2 linked regions of the Danio rerio genome follow. The main gene of each other region encodes a partner of the protein of the gene in region 2 in a complex. Links are inferred from orthologs where the notes say so. Each region holds a gene or a part of one and is shown on either strand. Other genes may lie near its edges.

What was found. Proteins that work in one complex are often made in the same cells at the same time.
Region 1: sf3a1 (region 2) and sf3b4 share a complex: the UniProt entries of both Homo sapiens proteins name them as parts of the 17S U2 SnRNP complex. The link is inferred for Danio rerio from reciprocal best matches to the Homo sapiens genes SF3A1 and SF3B4.

What each region holds. Positions count from the first base shown.
Region 1 is NC_133194.1:8,475,862-8,486,409, reverse strand, and holds the start of sf3b4 (splicing factor 3B subunit 4), read right to left. Parts: upstream 6,231-10,548; 5' UTR 6,203-6,230; coding exon 6,169-6,202; intron 5,829-6,168; coding exon 5,700-5,828; intron 4,019-5,699; coding exon 3,476-4,018; intron 658-3,475; coding exon 328-657; intron 46-327; coding exon 1-45. Other genes in the region: rab25a (ras-related protein Rab-25a), read left to right, coding at 9,877-9,913, 10,359-10,548. UniProt on the Homo sapiens protein: Component of the 17S U2 SnRNP complex of the spliceosome, a large ribonucleoprotein complex that removes introns from transcribed pre-mRNAs.
Region 2 is NC_133183.1:43,419,013-43,429,646, forward strand, and holds the start of sf3a1 (splicing factor 3A subunit 1), read left to right. Parts: upstream 1-4,831; 5' UTR 4,832-4,849; exon of another isoform or gene 4,850-4,853; intron 4,854-4,973; 5' UTR 4,974-5,016; coding exon 5,017-5,064; intron 5,065-6,446; coding exon 6,447-6,556; intron 6,557-6,648; coding exon 6,649-6,841; intron 6,842-7,002; coding exon 7,003-7,260; intron 7,261-7,962; coding exon 7,963-8,037; intron 8,038-8,733; coding exon 8,734-8,884; intron 8,885-9,184; coding exon 9,185-9,381; intron 9,382-9,510; coding exon 9,511-9,628; intron 9,629-10,634. UniProt on the Homo sapiens protein: Component of the 17S U2 SnRNP complex of the spliceosome, a large ribonucleoprotein complex that removes introns from transcribed pre-mRNAs.

The DNA.
Region 1 (10,548 bases), on a different chromosome or scaffold from region 2:
GCATTGGTGGAGGAGGACCCCTCATACCCGGATGCATTGGTGGACCTGTTAAAAGTAGATGAAGATTTGTATAAATCATTGCATAAATAAAAACACACACACATACACGTTTTATATATATATATATATATATATATATATATATATATATATATATATATATATATATATATATATAAACCATCATTATATTGTGATAATGATCATATAAAATACTGATATATTCATAATACTATGATTTATAATTTATAATTTAATATTATTTCATGATTTCAATACATACTAACACAACAAGTCAGTCTCCTTCACACACACACACATACATACCCATTGGGGGTCCAAAGGGTCCTCTGGGAGGGACACCCATGGGTGGAGGAGGCATTTGTGGTGGAGGCGGTGCTCTTGGTTGGTTAGATCCTGGTGGGCCAGGTGGGGGAGGCACCATTCCTGGAGGTCCCGTTGGAGGCATCGGCATATGCGGCATTCCTGGCGGATGCATTCCAGCAGGAGGGAAGGGCGGGTGTCCCGGTGGGGGTCCTCCACCGCCCTGTGGCGCAGGAGTACCTGGTGCTGGAGGCATGGGCATACCGGGAGGCATCCCAGGTGGCATTGTGCCAGGAGGAGGAACAGGTGGGAAAGCACCGGGAGGAGGCATTCCTGCAAGATTAACATGCAAAGAGTTGATGCAGAAAAAAAATAACAGTATGGTAACTTGAATCACCAGAAAAACATTTCTATTTTCTTTTAGGCTATAAAGTTTTACAGACTTATGACATTATTTTACACCTAATCCTAGGTTAGAATTATGACTAGAGACTTTAAATTAAAATAACTGATGTTTTCTACTACTGTATTGACATTCTAAATTGCGGAAGTGCGCCTGTTTTCGCGATTGTCTTAGAACTTCCATTTCAGTCGCCTATGGGAGAAATGACTAGGAATAATAAACGGCAGAAAATGGTCAAACTACTTGCTCTACAAACAAATGTTTGCATGACTATACAGACCAAGTAGAATAATATAACAGAGAAATATCAGTTTGCAACATCAAACAGCGAAACGAGCAGTTTTTAATGTCTAAAAATGAATGTAAGTGAATGAGACCGGAAGTCTCGTGCCAAAAAGATTCAAATGGCAGCGCCTGCTCGTCGGCTAAGAATAAGGTCAATACCTGTTTGTGTTTTATTTCATCAAAATGTGACGGGGGTATTTTTTTTAAGAGTTTTTGTAGAAAACATTAAATATTTATGTAAAATAAAAAATATAAATATTAAATATTGAAGTGAAATGACACATTTTAATACACCTCAAGTTAAATAGAAAGGATTTGATATTTAACTTGTTTTAAATAACCATGACCCATTTCATAAAACAAATCTTATTTTATTAGGGCTTTTATTAAGGTACATTTATGACTTTATGACCAAGTAAAGATTTATTTTTTAAAAGAACACATTGTGTCAAAATACTGGTCACGTGACTGAAAAGTGACAAGTTTGCACCCATGTTTTATGATTTTTATCTGCTCTGATTTAAGAAACTGTAAAAGGGTGAATGACTTTTAAAGACCTGCAGAAATTCTCTCAGTGATAATTAAAATGCCAGCATTTATTGATCAGGGTTTCCTCTCTTTCATGAAATGTGCATTATTTGTCATCGTTTTTGTACAAGATGTAAATGTAATATTTTTATATAAAGAATTTTCCATTTTAGTTCTGTTTTTGTCAGCAGGACAGTACAATTGCTACAATAACACCTTAAACTAACTTCATTTCAAATTTAAATCAAGCACTATTAAGGACCTGATTTGTTTTTGAGTACTCTACAAGCCTTAAATCCGTATGTCTAAAATCGAAGTACTTTCAAAAAGTGTAGGAACCCTGGCTGATGTCTTTGAACGTGAAAGTAAAGTTTAAACCTCTTTAACCAAATTAAAGAAAGGTTTTTTATAACGTAGGGATGTGCAATGGACCCTTTTCACAAGAACTGTTATGGCGCGTTTAACGATCATCAGCATCTTAAATTAAAGCTGTATATCATTTCAGCATAGATATCGCAATGTGCTCATATACAATAGTCAAATTGCAGGACCCTCAATGTACAGTCTGGATAATAAATTATGACTTATGTGTGTTTTTGAGGCCTGTGACTGAGGGTATTAAATATATTCAGACCTGAGAAACTGTACTGTTTCTAACTTTCTTTTTTATAGGATTATTTATAAAACAAAGACACACAGTATTTAACATTTGATTATTCAACTACTACTTAAATACCGTTAGACTCATCAGAAAACCATTCAATTTTATTTACATCTTATAGTATTGATCTTTGCTTGTAGATTACTAGTTGTATTTTAACAAAATATCACAACGTTACTGTAACAGAGGCCAGCTAGCTAAGTGCTAAGCAGGTAAACCTCTCCCTCCTCTGTCTTCTAAAGGTGCTCTAGTGAAAGACGCTAGAGGCCATGGTCTTTAGACTTCCTGTTGAAGCAACCAATTCCCATACTAAGAATCACCGTTTCGATCCCAGCTCAGACCAGGTCGGGTGCAGTAGAACTGGTGGATTACACTTGGGGGCTCGTCCAGGATGAGACTGAGGCTTAGGGGGGTGAGTGTAACAGAGGCCAGCTAGCGAAGTACTAAGCAGGTAAACCTCACTTCTCTAACCTCAAAAGGTGCTCTAACGACAAACGCTAGAGGCCATGGTCTTTAGCCTCCTTGTTAGAGCAATCGACTCCCATACAACAAATTGCCAGTCACAGCTCAGACCGGGTTGGGTGCAGAGGAACCGGTGGGTTACACTTGAGGGCTCGTCTGGAATGGGAGTGAGCAGTGAGGTTTAGGAGGGTGAGTGTAACGGAGGCCAGATAGCAAAGGGCTACGCAGGTAAACGTCACTCCTCTGACCTCAAAAGGTATTCTAGACACAGAAGCTAGAGGCCATGGTCTTTAGCCTCCCTGGTAGAGCAACCGGCTTCCATTACAAAGAATCGCCAGTTTGATCCCAGCTCAGAATGGAATAGGTGCAGTAGGAACTGTGGGTTACATTACATTTTTCCAATATCATACAGCCCTATCTTAAATCTTTTTATATATTTTTAATAGATTATTTAAAAACTATTAACATTTTTATGTATTTATGTATGTGCTACATCATCTTTGCATTAAATTACCACCTATGTGTGGCATTTGAAATGCAGCGTCTATAGGGCAGGACAGTAAATTTGATGTTGTTCTATTTTCTGTCTGTCGTTATCAGTCTCACATTATTTTCTTTTCTTTCTTGAAAGTCTTGATAACACCATAGTGAAGTTTTTCTTTTACTATTTCAGCAAACAGGATTGTGAATAAAAAATATTTGTTGTACTCTCCCATTCACTTCACTCTAAATTTATCCAACTCTGACGACTTTGAACCTGGAAATGTGAAAAACATTTGCAACATGTCATTAAGATGTTTCTCATCTCTAACCTGGAATAGGCATGGCTGCTCCGAGGGCAGTCATGACAGGCGTGGGCATGCTTGGAGGAGGTGGAGCATCTGCGAAAAGCTGATGTGGGCGATCGGCCTGGGACAGTGGATTCTGTGCGGCAAGGAGACGCTCGGCTGCTGACCCATGTCTTTCACCCTTTGAGTCTTTCTTAAACGCGTATGAAACAGTGATGGGCCGATTACACAGATACTGGCCATTCATAGCCTCGATAGCCGCATCTGACGCATCAAAACTGGCAAAGTTGATGAAGGCGTAACCCTTCGAGTTGCCCGTATCGGGGTCTCGCATGATCTTGGGGGTCTGAAGGATCACACCGAAAGCGCTGAATGTGTCATAAAGTAATTTCTCGTCGATCTCAGGGTCCAAGTTGCCAATGAAGATGTTGGCACCAACGTCGAGGTTCTTGTTGTGCGCTGAAGCTTTGTTGACTCGTATGGGCTTGCCGTAAAGTTTGATCATATTCATTATTTTTATGGCGTAGTCCGCATCTTCTTCGCTGAGAAACTCCACAAAGCCATAACCTGAAGAAGAGAGAGCGATACCAGTTTTTGAAGTGATCCTATTAGGTTGTTAAAAGTTCCTAATTTTGTTTTACATGCAGGGCTCAACAATAAGGACTGCCCGGTGGCCCGGGGCCAGCTTGAAAGGCGCTCGGGACAGTAGACAGGATTGTTACTGGCCCCTATCGCACGTTATTTTTTTCGTAACCTGGTCACAACAAGTACATCGAAAACATGGCAAAATGGCAGCAACATCAAACGATGAGGCTAAAAGAAAATGTCTGTTTCTAAAGTATTGGAAGCAGACAATACATGTGTACAAAATTAAGAAACTGGAGAGAGAAAAAAAAAAGGTTGTCAGTTTGGCAAGCCATTTTTATAAAAATAATTTAGAGTTGCAATAAAATACCAGCTTTTTTTTCCATACTGCTCTTTCGTTGGCATAAAATCTTGAATTTTGCTCATTATACATTTATTACCATTTTTGAAATGTTTAAATTCTATTATTATTTAAAATATGTGGCTAAGACATAACTATTAACTTTTTGTTGTTTTTGGTGGGGGCAGTGAAAATCTCAACCACTGGCCCGATCGGCCCAGTAGACAAAATCCTTGCCGTTGAACCCTGACATGCATTCAATGTTAAAATACACTTTAATTTCTTAATACAATACATAAGAATTACTCAAATATGATTTGAGTATTGAGTACTAATTTGACTACATTTACAATATTAGGCAATGTTGATTTATCAATCAATCAATCAAATTATTTATATAGCACATTTTTACAATCAGAAGGCTGCTCAAAGTGCTTTACAGTCTTAAAAACAAAAAATAAGTTAAATTTAATGTACACCGTCCCTTGTTGTGAAATATAATAAGATAAAAATCAATATCAATTCTCTGTAGGATAGATTTGATAACACACAGGCAGTTTTTGATTGAGGTAAAGAAGGTTTTACATTCGCAAATTTATTCATTTTAACGGTTACTATATAGTTTACCACACTACTTTCAATATTCAGTCTAAATTTGCATGCAAGTATTACACTACAAACAACATTACACTATTTAATTGTCTGTGAACAGTGTTGTAGTCATCGGCTGCTAATATGGTTTCACTGTTTAGAATTTAAATATAATATTTTTCTGAAATTATATAGTTAAGGAGAAAGTCAGAATGTGCAAATATAAAACCAATTATACCTCAATCAGTTTTTGTGGACTTCCAAGTCTGCAGCCTATGAATGCAAAAGTAAGTGTGCAGAATTGCAGTTGTAACAAACAAACACAAGATTTGGGTAAAAAAAAATTATACAATAAATAATAAAAAGTACAAATAAAAACAAAATCAGTACTTATAACTGGGGTTTTGTTCAACAATGTCAACAACACAAACAAACGTAAGATTGAGCAAAACTAGATATTTAGCAGCCACTGGCTGGTATTATGCAAACTTGTTAGGAACACAGTTCCTGTATTGTTTACCACGCTACTTTGAATATATGGTCTAAAATATAATGCAACTATTTCATTGTCTGTGAACAATATTGAACTTTGATAGTCTTTGACTGCTAATGTCATTTTCCTTCTTATAATTTGCAAAGAATACTTTTGCTAAATTATATTAAGAGGAAAGACCGAATGAGGGAGTATAAAAGCAACTTTACCCCAATGGATTTAAAGACGTGGTAACTCACCCTGGTGTTGTCCTGTTACTCTGTCTTTGGGCATGTGTGTGTTTACAACAGGACCAGCTTGAAGGAAAAGCTCCCACAAAAGAGGCTCAGAGACCTTCTCATCGAGACCACCCACATATACAGTGGCATCTGCAGATAAAAGATGATCAATATAAATGACAACACTGAACACAAACATAGTATTTTATTTAACGTTAGATGCATTATTTATATACAATTTATTAATTCCGATAATAATAAGCATATTGAAATATGCATGATTGTTTTGTTACACTTCATTAAAACCAAAACTCAAACGTTTCTTTGTTTTTATTTGTTAAGCCAACATGTTTGAATGAATGAAAATGAGCGATTTGACTGTATCATAGAACATAGGAAGAACTTAAGGTGTTCAATAATGCTGCAATCCATCACTTACCCCGAACACTACATAACAATTTCACTAAAAAGTTAAATTTATCAAATATACCTTGATTTCGTTCTGAAATCGGTCCCGCCGCCATGATGAACCCCGGCGTGTGTACAGACGGAAGCAGTTCTTTTTGCTGAAATCACCTCAACATCGTCTTGTCATCGCAGTGCTGCCGCCCACAGGAGAGGAAGATGAACATTGCCGATTTTGTGGATGTCAAATTATGATTTACTACGTCCTTTGTCTGTTTTTGTTCGGAAGTTACTTAATATGTCTTTTATGTTGTTAAAGGTCATAAAATGGAGCCACAGCTGTGCTAAGCCAGGACCCAGTCAGACTGTCTAATGGACAGATCTGTGGCGACGAAACAAACAGTAGGCTACCGCATGGTTTTTATCACATAAGTAACAATTAATTAAATATGCAAGTTAATATTATCACGAGCTGTATAAAGTACTCAAATGACCTACCATACTTAAGTGGAAGTAGAAATACACAAACTGCTTGTTCAAGCTGAAGCAACACAATTCTTGTGATTTGTGGGGGCAACTTAATTGTTTTATGTTTAAACCAATTAAATTTGTTGAGACAATGAACAAATTGTGTGGAATTTTTTACAGTGTACTAACAAAGTAAAAAAGTGAGGTAAAAAAGTACAAATTAAAGTTTTTAATTAATGGTTAAAAACAAATAAGACTTAAAATGGCACACAAGTGGATAGACTTTATAAGAATGTATTAAAAATAAATTTTGGGTGAGCTAAGTTACCTCAGTATACTTTTAGATTTGATGATGAAAGAAGTTTCTTTTAGATAAGTAATAACATACGCTGAAATGTGTGCTGTTAACATACAAACTTTTAAATTTATCAATAAGCTATATGCACAGCTAGTTTTTTTTAGCCAATGATAAACTTCTAGCGAAAGCTTTATAAAAGCTTTAATTTCATAAGGTTTCTTTTACAGCATCGATGTTGTAATATAATTACAATACATTCAGTTAAATATTTGGTTGGTAAAGCATAAAAACCGTTTAAATGCAGGCGCCGTCATTAGCAGCGAGTAAGCGCAAAAACTTTAAAAAAAATACTGAGGAAAAATTAATTTCCATATTTTAATGACATGGTGTGGAAAAATAGTCTATAAATTAATGCAGTGTTTTTATGCTAGGTCTGATACCCACTATATATCGCATCTCAGCCAGGCAGTGAAGATTGCTGTTATTTAAAGAAATCAGATCTTAAACGCTGCAATTTAGTTTGGGATGACAATTAACCGGAAGCAATGGGGCTGACTGACTGAAATTAAAAGTTTGTGTGCATATACCCCATTGTGTGTAAGATGGAGGAAAAAACAACAGTGAAGCAATTACTTTTCAAAGTGAAATAAAATGATAGGCATTATAAAATTAATGGTTTTCTTCAAATCAAGCACAAGCACTCAATATAAATTACATTTTTGTCATTTAAAAACGTTTCCCAAAAATTAAACTAAAGTACATTAATTTAAGGTGGCATGGTGGCTTAGTGGTTAGTGCTGTTGCATAGAGTTTGCATGTTCTCCGCAAGTTGGTTTCCTCTAGGTGCTCCGGTTTCTCCCACAGTCCAAAGACATGTGCTATAGGTGAATTAAATAAACTAAATTGGCCCTGTGTATGAATGTGTGTGTGAATGATAGAGTGTATGGGTGTTTTCCAGTACTGGGTTGTGCCCAAGGTGCAAATTATACATTCACCAACAGGAGGGTAACCTTTTTGGTATGTTAACGTTAGTTTGTGTAATACATGCTTTAGTGAATCACATGAATGTATTTATTTGAGCTAGTTTAATTAATCTGATTTATTAATAAACATATTTAAGTTTCCAGTGTTTTGTGCGATATTTAGTGTATTCTGACCTACGATATCCTCTGATTAGCTATTCCAGAGTTTACTGTAGGTCAAACTATAAAAACTATGCATCTAATTTGAGTTCACTTTCAGGTTATATGTAGAAACAAACTGCTGTTTTACAAGAAAAGTGTCTTACGAACACTTTGGTTGTCTATCGGTGCTTTGATCTGATGGTTTCAGACTGATAAATAATTTGTTTCTCACATAGACTGATTGTGCATTCACAATGATATGAATAAATATAGGGGTGGTCAAATGTATATATAATCTATTTTTTTCATTCATTTTATTTTATTTTCAGTCCATTTATTAATCAGAAGTTGCTACAGCAGAATAAACCGCCAACTTATAGCCAGGGCCAGACGGAATCTGCGGACGTTTTTTGCTATTTCTGCTGAGAATTTTGGTAAAAATCTGTGGTTTTCTGCGGAATTATTTTGGGAGTATCCAGCAGAGTATCATAACTAAGACCTTAATGTATTAAATAAAAAGAAATAAATTACTGAATAAAAACTGAATAAATTCAGATATACACACTTACTCAAGTAAATAAACAGAATTAATGATGGGCTAAAAATCTGCAGAAATCTGCAGAATTCTGCGGAAAATCTGCAGAATTCTGTGTGCGCAGATTCTGTGTGGGCCTACTTATAGCATATGTTTTACACAACAGATGCCCTTCCAGCTGCATCACTGGGGAACACCCATACACACTCATTCACACACACTATGGACAATTTATCTATGGTCTATACCCAATTCACCTATATAGCACATGTCTTTGGACTGTGGGGGAAATCGGAGAACACGGAGGAAACCCATGCGAACACAGGGAGAACACGCAAACTCCACACAGAAATGCCAACTGACCCAGCCGGGGCTTGAACCAGCAACCTTCTTGTTGTAAGGCGATGGTGCTACCTACTGTGCCACTGTGACGCCCCTATTATTATCAGTTTTTATATTATCTTTTAAGAAACAAATCAGAGTAACCTCTATTTCTCTCTTTTTAGAGGACTGACCCCCATACACGCTGTTTTGATGTGCTTCAGGTGGGATAAAGCATTATTTAGGGGGGTCAGTTCTCCCGCGAAACCCCCTGTAATTCGCACCCTGGTTGCAACGCTGTAAGTGCATCCGCTGCATAAAACATATGCTAAAATAGTTGGCGGTTCACTCCACTGTGTCGATCTTGAAGGAAAGCTGAAGGAAAGCTGAAGGAAAATGAATGAATGAACATTCATTTAATAAGATTACACACATATTTCACACCCCTGGCTGTCTGTACCAAACAATATACACAATGGTTATTGTGAAAAAAGATGCATGAACAGCAGAGGTGTGATTCACAAGCCTAAACATGAGCCAAACACTGGGCTAAACAGGTAAATTTGCATTAAAATGAGCTAAATTCAAAGCTTTTGTTTTGATTACGTCAAACTAATCAAAACCCCTTTTATTTTATGTTTACAGAAACTCAACCTGTTGCCTATAAAGATACATGTTGATGCAGGACGGCTTGTTTTTCTGACTCAGCTCTTCTGATATTTGTTTTTGCGCATACAGAACTGGATACATACACGCAGTCGGAGTGAAGGAACGGTGATTTAACAGTAGTGTGTGTGAGAGAATGAAGTCACTCCCATTGTGTGTGTGTGTGTGTGTGTGTGTCAGTGGTTCTACCAGTTTCACCTGCTTTCCCACCCAAACTGTCTCAAAGAAGAGTCTGGCTGAATCTGCATTTAGACCTGCAAGAATGGATCAATAAAGCTGTCGGAGAAACCTGAGCATCTGCTTTTCTCCTCCCAGTGGATTCTGAGCTCGAGTAACACGTATGCACTAAACACAGACTGACACATTACAGCTAGAGACAACATGGGGACAGATTTAGCCTACAACTTTGTCTTCAAAGGTAAGTTTCAGTCAGCTGATTGAAGATTAAATGCTTTTACTGTGATTGCTGCGTCTGATGCCTAGCATGCTAATCTAATATATAAAAGATATTTGTTATTTTGTATTTTCATGTATTTCCAATTGTGTCAGAAATTGAAAGGGGTAGTTCACCCAAAAATTAATATTTACTCACTATTTATTCACCTTCAAGCGGTTCCAGAATAGATATGAAGATATTTTGAGGAAAGTTAAAAATCTGTAACCATTGACTTTCATAGTAGGAAAACAAATACAATGGAAGTCAATGGAAACAGGTTTCCAGCATTTTTCTAAATATCTTCTTTTGTGTTCAACAGAAGAAAGAATGTCAAACAGGTTTGCAACTAGTGAAGTGTGGAAATTGTATTTTCCTTTAACTACGCATCATTCAAAGTAAGTTAAATGCTGTCTTGGTTGTCTTTCAGTGGTTTTAATTGGAGAATCAGGGGTTGGAAAGAGCAACCTGCTGTCAAGGTTTACCAAAAACGAGTTCAACCATGACAGTCGCACCACTATTGGCGTGGAGTTCAGCACTCGCTCTGTTCAGGTGGACAGTATCACCATCAAAGCCCAGATCTGGGACACTGCGGGTCTAGAGCGCTACAGGGCCATCAC
Region 2 (10,634 bases):
AGAGGAGTAATAACAGGAATCCCTACTGATGTTACAGTTGAGAAAATAAAACGAAATATCACTGGGGCAGCAGTAAAAGAAGTCAAACGACTAAAATGCGTTAGAAATAACGAAAAAGTAGACAGTCTGTCTGTAATGATTCATTTTGATGAAAACAAACTACCGGAAAGAGTGTACTTAGGATATTTGAGCTACAACGTTAGGCTATATGTCCCCCCGCCAATACGCTGTTACAAATGCCAAAAGTTCGGACACGTAGCGGCAGTTTGTAGAGGTAAACAGAGATGTGCGAGATGTGGGGGAGACCATGAGTATGGTAAATGTGGGCAGGAAGTAAAGCCAAGGTGTTGTAATTGTGGTGGGGAACACAGTGCGGGCTACGGAGGATGTCAAGTTAGGAAAAATGCTGTACAAGTCCAAAATGTCCGAATGTCTGAGGGAATCTCGTATGCTGAAGCTCTAAAGAAAGTTAAACAGACATCAAGAGAACCAGAAACCAGAGTAACAGAATCTCAACAAAAAGCAACGATGAAAGAACAAAATAAAGATAATGAAGTATGTATTGACAAAGTATCGTTCGTCACATTTATAGCAGAAGTAGTTAATTGCTCTGCGCAGACGGAGAGCAGGACCGAGAGAATTAAAATTATCATCAGAGCTGCTTCAAAATATTTGGAATTAGAGGGTGTTACAGTAGATATGATAAACGATAGACTCAAGATACAATCAGGAACTAGTCAGACAGTATATAGTCAACCATGTGGAAGTATATAATGGTATTAACAATACTGCAGTGGAATGCAAGAAGCCTAATTGCAAACGGACAAGAATTTAAAAAATTCATAGTAGATCATGAAAATAGCCCTGACATCATATGTGTTCAGGAAACTTGGCTTAAGTCACATTTAGATTTTGTAATTAATGGATACACTTCGGTAAGAAAAGATAGAGACAAGTCTAATGGTGGTGGGGTAGCTACATTTATTAAACAGAGTATTGGGTATAGGGCAGTTGAGATCACTGGGGAACAAGAAGCTGTGGCAGTTGAAATATGCGATGGAACACAGAAAGTTAGAATAATAAACTATTATAATCCATGTGATAAATTAAGTAAGGACAATCTAGAACATATCCAAGGGAATGGAAATAATAAAATCGTGTGGTGCGGGGATTTTAATGCTCACAACACTTTATGGGGGAGTAAAAAAACAGATTACAATGGACTAATTATAGAAGATATGCTGGATTGGGGAGGATTAGTATGTATCAATGATGGAGGTTACACAAGAGTAGAGTTAATAAAAGGAAAATACTCAAATTTAGATTTAACACTAGTTTCTGAAAGCCTAGCTGGAAGATGTGATTGGAAAGTATTAAAGCAAAACACAATTGGTAGTGATCATTATCCAATTCTAAGTTCAATTGGAATACAGATAATTCGAACTGTGGTAGAAAGAATGCCAAGGTGGAAATTCAGAACAGCTGACTGGGAAAATTTTAAGGAATTATGTAATAATAGATTGTCGGAAATAGATAGATGTGAGGATGATGTGGAAGTTATTAATTCTAAACTTTGTGAAGTTCTTAAGAGCACTGCGGAAGAAGTAATAGGAAGAAAAAAAGCTAATGATAAGAAGAAAGCAGTTCCTTGGTGGAATGAAGAGTGCAGCGAAGTAGTAAGTAAAAGGAATAATGCATTAAAAAAAGTTAGAAAAACATTAAATTATAATGACTTTATAAATTATAAAAGAGCTCAGGCAATAGTGAGGAAAATAATTAGAAGGGCAAAAAAGAATTATTGGAGAGAGTACTGTGACAGTATTGGGGAGGATGTCAATGTATCTGACATATGGGGTATGATAAGGAAAATGGCAGGAAAACAAAGAAATAATAATATTCCTACATTGACAGAAAATAACAGATTAGTAATTTCTGATATGGAGAAAGCTGAAGTTCTAGCAAAAAATTTTGCCAGAATTCATAGTAACGCTAACCTATCTGAAGAAATTAGAAGAAATAGGGAACAGATCTTGATCAGGAATCCGTGGTTGTTGGAAAACAAAGGGCCATCTGAAAGTACATTAGATAGGGAATTTACATTATTTGAGTTAAAAAAAGCATTGGCAGAAAGTAAGAAAACCTCACCTGGAAAAGATGAAATTTGTAACGAAATGATTAAGCATTTATCAGATAATTCATTATGTATAATACTAAAATTATTTAATAAAGTATGGGAGTCAGGGATTTTACCAGCAGAGTGGAAACACGGTGTCATAATACCAATTGCAAAACCAGGTAAGGATCAGTCACAACCAAATAACTACAGACCCATAGCATTAACTTCTAATATATGTAAATTAATGGAACGCATGGTAATGAGCAGACTGGTTTATGCTATCGAAAAAGAAAACTTTTTTGCCGCATACCAAAGTGGTTTCAGGAAGGGACGTAATACAATGGATTCAGTGATTTGTTTGGAATCAGAAATAAGAAAGGCACAAGTAAATAAGGAAGTGTTGGTGGGAGTATTTTTCGATATTGAAAAAGCATACGACATGATGTGGAGAGAAGGACTTTTAATTAAATTAGAAAAAATGGAAATTAATGGAAAAATGTATAACTGGATCAAGAATTTTTTGTTAAAAAGAACAATACAAGTTAGAGTGGGTTCTGCATTCTCCCAAATATATAAGGTAGAGAACGGAACACCACAAGGGAGTGTTAGCAGCCCTATCCTATTTAATATCATGATAAATGACATCTTTTCAAAAATGGAGTTGGGGATCGGGAGATCTTTATATGCAGATGATGGTGCGCTATGGAAGAGGGGAAGAAATGTAGTTCATGTAGAAAGGTGTTTACAGAATGCAGTGAGGACAGTACAAGATTGGGCGGATGAGTGGGGGTTTAGATTTTCTACTGATAAAACTCAGGTTATTTGTTTTTCAAAAAAGAAAGTTAATCCAAATATAAATATTAATATATACAGACAAAAAATAGAACAGGTATCAGTAATTAGATATTTAGGAATGTGGATGGATGTAAAACTGAATTTTAATATGCATATTCAAAAAATAATAGATAAATGTAAAAAAGGAATTAATGTAATGAGGTGTCTGGCAGGAGCTGAATGGGGTGCATGTCGTTTCTCGCTTAAAAGAATCTATAATGCACTGGTAAGATCTACTATAGATTATGGATGCGTAGTATATAGTTCCGCAGCTAAAACTCAGTTGTTGAAAATAGATGCGATTCAATCTCAGGCACTAAGAATATGCTGTGGAGCACTAAGAACTACACCCATTATAGCATTACAAGTAGAGATGGGGGAAATGCCTCTAAAAATTAGAAGAATTAAGTTAAAAATGAGATATTGGGTTAGCATTAAAAGCCAAGAAGAGAGGCACCCAGTAAAAACAGTACTAAAGGAATGTTGGGAATATGGACATAAAAAGATAGATAGTTTTGGTTGGACAGTAAAAGACGAGGCTCAAAATATGGGCATAAGAGACATCAATTTAGCCCCTGCTGTGCCAACCTCTGCGATTCCGCCTTGGCTTTTCCATAAACCAGTAGTCGATTTATTACTACATGAGGAAAAACACAAAAATAATATGTTAAATGAAAAAGAAATACAACAATACATAAATCAGTCATATTTCAATTATTTACAGATATATACAGATGGGTCAAAAGATCCTAAAGATGAAAAAACGGCAGTAGTAGTTTACATCCCAAAATTCAATATTAAAATATCAAAAAGAATAACGGACCGACTTTCTGTGTACACTACAGAAATTGTAGCTATACTTCTTGCTCTTCAGTGGATAGAAGACGTGAAACCATTAAGATCAGTAATATGCTCCGATTCTCTGTCAGTACTAAACAACTTAATTACTGGAACATCTAAGGCAAGACAGGACATAATGAATGAGATAATGCAAAATTTATTCAGAATCAGACAGGGTGGACTTTTTGTAAGCTTCTTGTGGATTCCTGGTCATATGGGAGTAGTAGGTAATGAAGAGGCAGACCAACTTGCAAAGGAAGCATTACAACATACTCAGATAGAAATAAAAATAAAAATAAGTAAGTCAGAGGTAAAAAACATAATTGCAAAAGAAACAGGTAGAATGTGGCAAAGGGAGTGGGATAATGGAGAAAAAGGCAGACATATGCATAATATTCAAGGATGTGTGGGTGGTACTAGAAATAAGTTTAGTAATAGAAGGAATGATGTGGTAATAACTAGGTTGCGTGCTGGTCATTGTTTGCTAAACCAGTATAAGTTCAGAATAGGGAAGCACGAGACAGGATGTTGTGATAAATGCGGGAAAATAGAAACATTAGAACATGTAATTACAGAATGTGTGGCATATGACAATCAGAGATATCAGTTAGTTCAAGGATTAAGTATTTATGGGATTAAAAATTTGTCATTTCAGACCCTATTAGGAAACAGTTCAAATCAAGTTGAAATAATAATGCAATTAATTAATTACTTAAAGGAAACAAAATTGATTAATAGAATTTAAGAATAGCTTAGCAAAATAAGGAAATAAAATTTACTATGATTTTTAACTAGTATTTTTTTTCTTTCTTTCTCTCCTCTCCTCCTACTGTTATTACTGTTCTCTCTTCCCTATGGTAATCTCATCCCTCCATTCGTATCATATATCTTTAGTACTCATGCTTTTTCCAACATTATGCGCTCCACACTCCTATCCAGTAGGTGGCGGAAATGCACCATTTAAGTTGGTCTGCCAACCGCCATTAACCCCATAAGAAGAAGAAGAATTTCATTGGTTGTCCGTTTTGTGTTGTGTGTGTGGCTGCTGGCTAACGAGAGGTAAGTGAGTTATGTAAAACTGCCTTCATAATTTGTATAACTTTAGCCATTCTTGCGACTTTCAGTGTTCATTATTTTATAACGGTTGAGTCTTTAGCTTCAAATAATCTTTCATTTTACACAGTAACGTTTGAATCGGTCCGAGAAGAGCCAGTAGTGTCGCAGTCATGCCGCCTGGGCCTGTGCAGATCATGCAGCCGGAGCTGAATAACAAGGTATGAAGCTTTCAGAATTTATTACTTTCATAGACACGATGGGTAGGTTTATCCGATTTATATTCATCTGCTTACATTTTTCGTCTTTCATAAGTATAATACTGGGCATTATTGCAATTTTATAATTTATTGTTTTGAGTAGAAGCATTACTTGTTTAAAGTTAAACTTTAATGTATATGTTATCTGTTTTGTTATCTTTTGTAGCAGTCATTGTTGTATATATTCCCAGCATAATGTTGTTTTATTATTAGTATAAATATAATATAATATAAAAATATATATTATGTAAATGTACTGTTTTATTTCCCAAAATCGATGTGGTCAAAGACAACCATTTTAAAAGATAACGTAGTAGTGTCTACTTTATTGTTTAGAAAAAAAGGTTAATAAAAATTAAGATCTAAAAATATATATACTTTTGTAAAAAATGACAACAACAACAAAAGTAAACTTACATGTACTTATTAAAATAAGTAAATGATCCTTCTGCATTTTATTGTTTTTTCTTTAAGTAAAAATTTGGATAATAGATAGTTAAATTTGAAATATTTCATTTGCTTATTTTGGGGGCTGCAATGTGATCTTTAAATGTTTTTCTAATGTCATCAAAATATTCTTCAGATGTTAATTGAATAATTATTCTTATTTTTCTTTATAATGAAAAAAATATAAATACACAAATTACTTGTTAGTTTATAAATATACATATATTGTTTTGATTCTTAAATTAAAAATGAATATGCAAATTCTATATACAAATAATATTTAAAAATTAGGGGTGTTTGAATTGAATGTAAATTTATTGATATTTATTGTAAAAACTAATTAGTTTGTAATATAAATTTCAGTTTATTATCAGATTCTGTTTTATTGATGTTGTGAAATGAGAAAGGACAGTTGTGCAATTATAATAAAAAGTAATAATTTTAAGGACCATTTACAGTGAGAAGTGTATTCTGTTGTACAATAGAAACACTTTTGGCTGCAGTAAATCCAATTCGCTTGATTTTTTTCTGTTTATCTGATATGGTATTCTCACATAACATGGTAAAGTTTCTGAGATTGACACCACAAGCATCACCCATGCTTCAATATTTGTGTAGTAAATGAAACTGTGGCATTCATTCAGAAACACGCCTCATAAATATAGACTTTGTATTTAACTTATATTTTAGTGGTCTTAAAATTCTCACACAATAGTACACATCACAACTTCATTTTAAGGACATGATTAGTTTTAATGTATTAATTCAAAGCTTGTAACATTTAATGACATTGTATAATTAATTCCATATTTATGACTGTATTCTGTGATTTTTGTTTGTGTTTTCTGTATTATTTTGCTCATATTAAATAAGCTATGAGATGTTTTAATCAACAGCCCGAAGAACCGAAAGAAGAAACTCCAGCCACAAAGCCCATAGTGGGAATCATCTACCCTCCTCCTGAAGTGCGAAACATCGTTGACAAGACTGCCAGCTTCGTAGCCAGGTTTGACATCCTACCACATATATCATGTAGTGCAGTATTTCATTTGTGTACTTTTATTAAATCAATAATTAATTCCATTTATTTTGTCAAAGGAATGGACCCGAGTTTGAGGCCAGAATTCGACAGAATGAGATCAACAACCCAAAGTTCAACTTCCTCAACCCGAGCGACCCATACCATGCCTACTACCGACACAAGGTCAATGAGTTCAAGGAGGGCAAAGCTCAGGAACCATCCGCAGCCGTTCCTAAAGTCATGCAGCATCCTCAGCAGCTTCCTCAGAAGGTCAGCAACTTCTCTGTGGCTTTATATAAATATTATCAATATTATAGATGTAGACAGATAGTTTTATAATAGTTAAAATCAAGCCATAATCCAGCAGACAGATATAAAAAATTTTAATAGCTTTCTATGTTATAAAGAGCTTATGTTTTGTGATTATTTAGGTCCAAGCACAGGTGATCCATGAGACGGTGGTGCCAAAAGAGCCTCCACCTGAGTTTGAGTTCATTGCTGACCCTCCCTCCATCTCAGCCTTTGACCTGGATGTGGTGAAACTGACCGCACAGTTTGTTGCCCGTAATGGCCGTCAGTTTCTCACACAGCTGATGCAGAAGGAACAGAGGAACTACCAGTTTGACTTTCTCCGGCCACAGCACAGTCTGTTCAACTACTTCACAAAACTAGTGGAGCAGTATACAAAGGTAAATTATACTTTTTAGAAATGCTGAGGGCTTATTGGTTTGCAAAGAGATTAGAGATGTTCAGTATTTTTTCCTCTAATAATATTTTTGATTAATGTTTAAAAAAATGCAAGCTCAATAAATTAGCAAAAAAATTATTAAAACAATTATTCCATTTGTGAAAGCATTTAGAAGATACATTAGGGCTGGGGAAAAAATTGGTGATTTCCATGCACATTTTGTCAATAAAGCAATAAAAGTAAAGTAAGCTACATTCAGCTGGAGCAGCATTTGCCACACATAATTCACTATAAAGCTACACAAAACTTGCAACACTTGATGAATCTGTAGTTGTGTCTTTATTAATTAGTCTGAATTAGCGAAAGCAGTTAAAGTTTCCTTTTTAACACAATACTCTTTGGATTTCTTTTAGTTTCTGTAAGAGCAGCCTCTGGCATTTAGAGGAGATTTATTGCTGATCATGCTGTGCTTTTCTGACAATATGTGCATGACAAATGTAGCTTTGCTAAATGATGTTTGGGATTTACTTTAGATTAATTGACCAGTCCTAAGATATATTGTAGTTCGGTAATATCACACAAACAAATACTTTTTCCCTGAAAATCAATTGCAAATGTGAAACCCCCAAATGCAAAATACAGGTTACAAATACAGGTTATTCAAGTGTGACATTAAATAACTTGTTTGATTGGCTTTTTGCAGGTTTTGATTCCTCCAAAAGGTCTTCTGCTGAAACTGAAGAAAGAAGCAGAGAATCCTCGAGAGGTCTTGGACCAGGTAATCAAATATAGAAATGAACACCAAAATTTAAAATTTCAGGTCACACGGGGTGTGAATGAAAAAAAAAAAAAAAAACATAAGATATTGGTAGACAAAATCATATTTAGAGTTTTTTTGTGCCCTAAACATACTCTTTGAGCTTTGAATGATTGCAGTTTAACCAGTGAAGTTTCATGGATTTTTTTAACAATGTCTTTGATTCTTTTTTTTTGAACTTTTAATGTCTCACGAGTATTGCTGCCTATACATGACAATATCTAAATCTTACATTTATGATGAGATAAAATCTTTAAATATCAACTCTTTATGTTCTAAAGAACAAAAAAGGTTTCTGAGGATTGGAACAACATGAGCATAAGCAATTAATAATAGATTTTTAAAAATCTGGGTGAACTAACCTTTAGATAAAACGTTTTAGAAGACACATTTTACCAAAGCCATTTACATTTGATCAGATCTTGCTTTTCCTGAGGAAAAAACTCATGATATTGAACAGCATGCTCTGCTGTTATAGCAACAGGAAAATCTTGTAGCAAAACTGAAGGTCAATCAGACAGCAGAACTTAAATACTAAATATGATTGATATGTTTTAGGAAGTCTTTTGATTATGAAAATCACAAAAATATCCCTGTATGTGTAGTGATGAGATTGACCTTATTAGTATAATATCTCATTGTTCCCTTGTGTTGTAGGTGAGGTATCGTGTGGAATGGGCCAAATTCCAGGAACGAGAGAGGAAGAAGGAAGAGGAGGAGCGAGAGAAGGAGAGAGTGGCATATGCTCAGATTGACTGGCATGACTTTGTTGTGGTGGAGACAGTTGACTTTCAGCCTAATGAGCAAGGTAAGCATGTGTAACACAGGATATTTAAGGGGTTCGCACAAACATTCAATTGCACCAGAAGAAAGCTCTCAATTTGTACATTTTGTTATTAGATTTTTTTTATTAATATTACTGTCAATAATTGTATTAATAGGTTAGTATATTGATTAAAATATTAGTAATTTTGTTAATGCTATTTTTATGATTTTAGTTTCAGCAATAATATATCATTAATGTGTTTAATAGTGTTTTTGTCTTGCCTAAATACTACTTTTATATGTACAGTGCAAATTATTAATTATTACTCTTATACATTTACAGGTAATTTCCCTCCTCCAACAACTCCTGAGGAGCTGGGTGCTCGTATCCTCATCCAGGAGCGCTATGAGAAGTTTGGAGAGAGTGAGGAGGTAGAGATGGAGGTGGAGAGTGAAGATGAAGATGATGAGAGGGAGGGCAGAGAAGATGGACATGCAGCTCAGCCTGACCAGGACACACAGCTGCAGGACATGGATGAGGTGAGACACAAGGCTGCACAAGGGCTCATTCCATGTATCATGTTTATGCATCAGCATAGATGAGCAGTTTGTGGAAGTAGGATCTACATTTTTCTGACTGACTAGCACTTGTTCTTTGTTTCTCAATAGGGCTCTGATGAGGATGATGATGGCATGAAAGCTCCTCTGCCCCCTGATAACCCCCTGCCACCGCCTCTGCCCCCCACCCCAGACCAGGTTATCATTCGCAAAGACTACGACCCCAAGGGTGAGATTCCCACTACATTTATTAAAAAGCATACAAAAAGGACATATATCATTTGCTTCATTCATTCAGAAAATTGTTTTATTATTGGTTTATTATCAGTTAATTCTTGAAAACGCTTGAATTTTAATCTAGTGTTTAAGTTTGAAAAGTGCTTTGATTTTTAAATAAAGCGCTTTAAACTGCTTGAAAAGGCATTACAAGGAAAGTTTATTTATATAGCACATTTCATAGACAATGGTAATTGAAAGTGCTTTACATAAACAAAAATAAAATAAACAAGTATAAGAAAACAAAGAACAAAAGAATTGTTGTTGTCTGCGCCATTAGCCTAGTGGTTAAGTGTGTCGACATATAGCAACAAAGTGCTTACGATGACCTGAGCTCAATTCCCGGCTCAAGGTCCTTTACCGATCCTTCCATTTTCTCTCTGCTTCACACAATTTCCTGTAAATATTTTCCACTGTCCTATCAATCAAAGGTTAAAAACCCCTGAAAATAATTATAAAAAAGACAAAAATAGAATTGTTCTGCTTTCATAATAATTGAATTTACCAAATAGGGGGTAATTAACTATTTAATTAAAATTAAATATATATTTTAGCTTTTTCATAAAATTAAAGCTAACTCCATGGAGATTGCCACTTCATGGTGGAACATGCATATAATTTAAAATAAATACTCATTTATTAGGATAAAAGATTAAAGATGACGCATCAAGATGGATGTGAATTACTTTTAAAGGGGAAAATGCCAGTAAATCATTGGGGCTTGGGGTAAACATTGTAAAAAATGTTGTTTTAGAATACTTTACTGTACTGTATGTATTTATAGTTACTAATAACTGTTTAACCTAATAAAGTTTTCTGATTTTGATTGTAATGCAATAATGTGCACCTTTTTCAAAACTGCTTTGAAATAATAATTAATGAGATAAGTTATATACGCATAAACATGAAATAAATTGAACTATAGAATACTATAAAAAATAGCATCTTGTAAAGTGCTG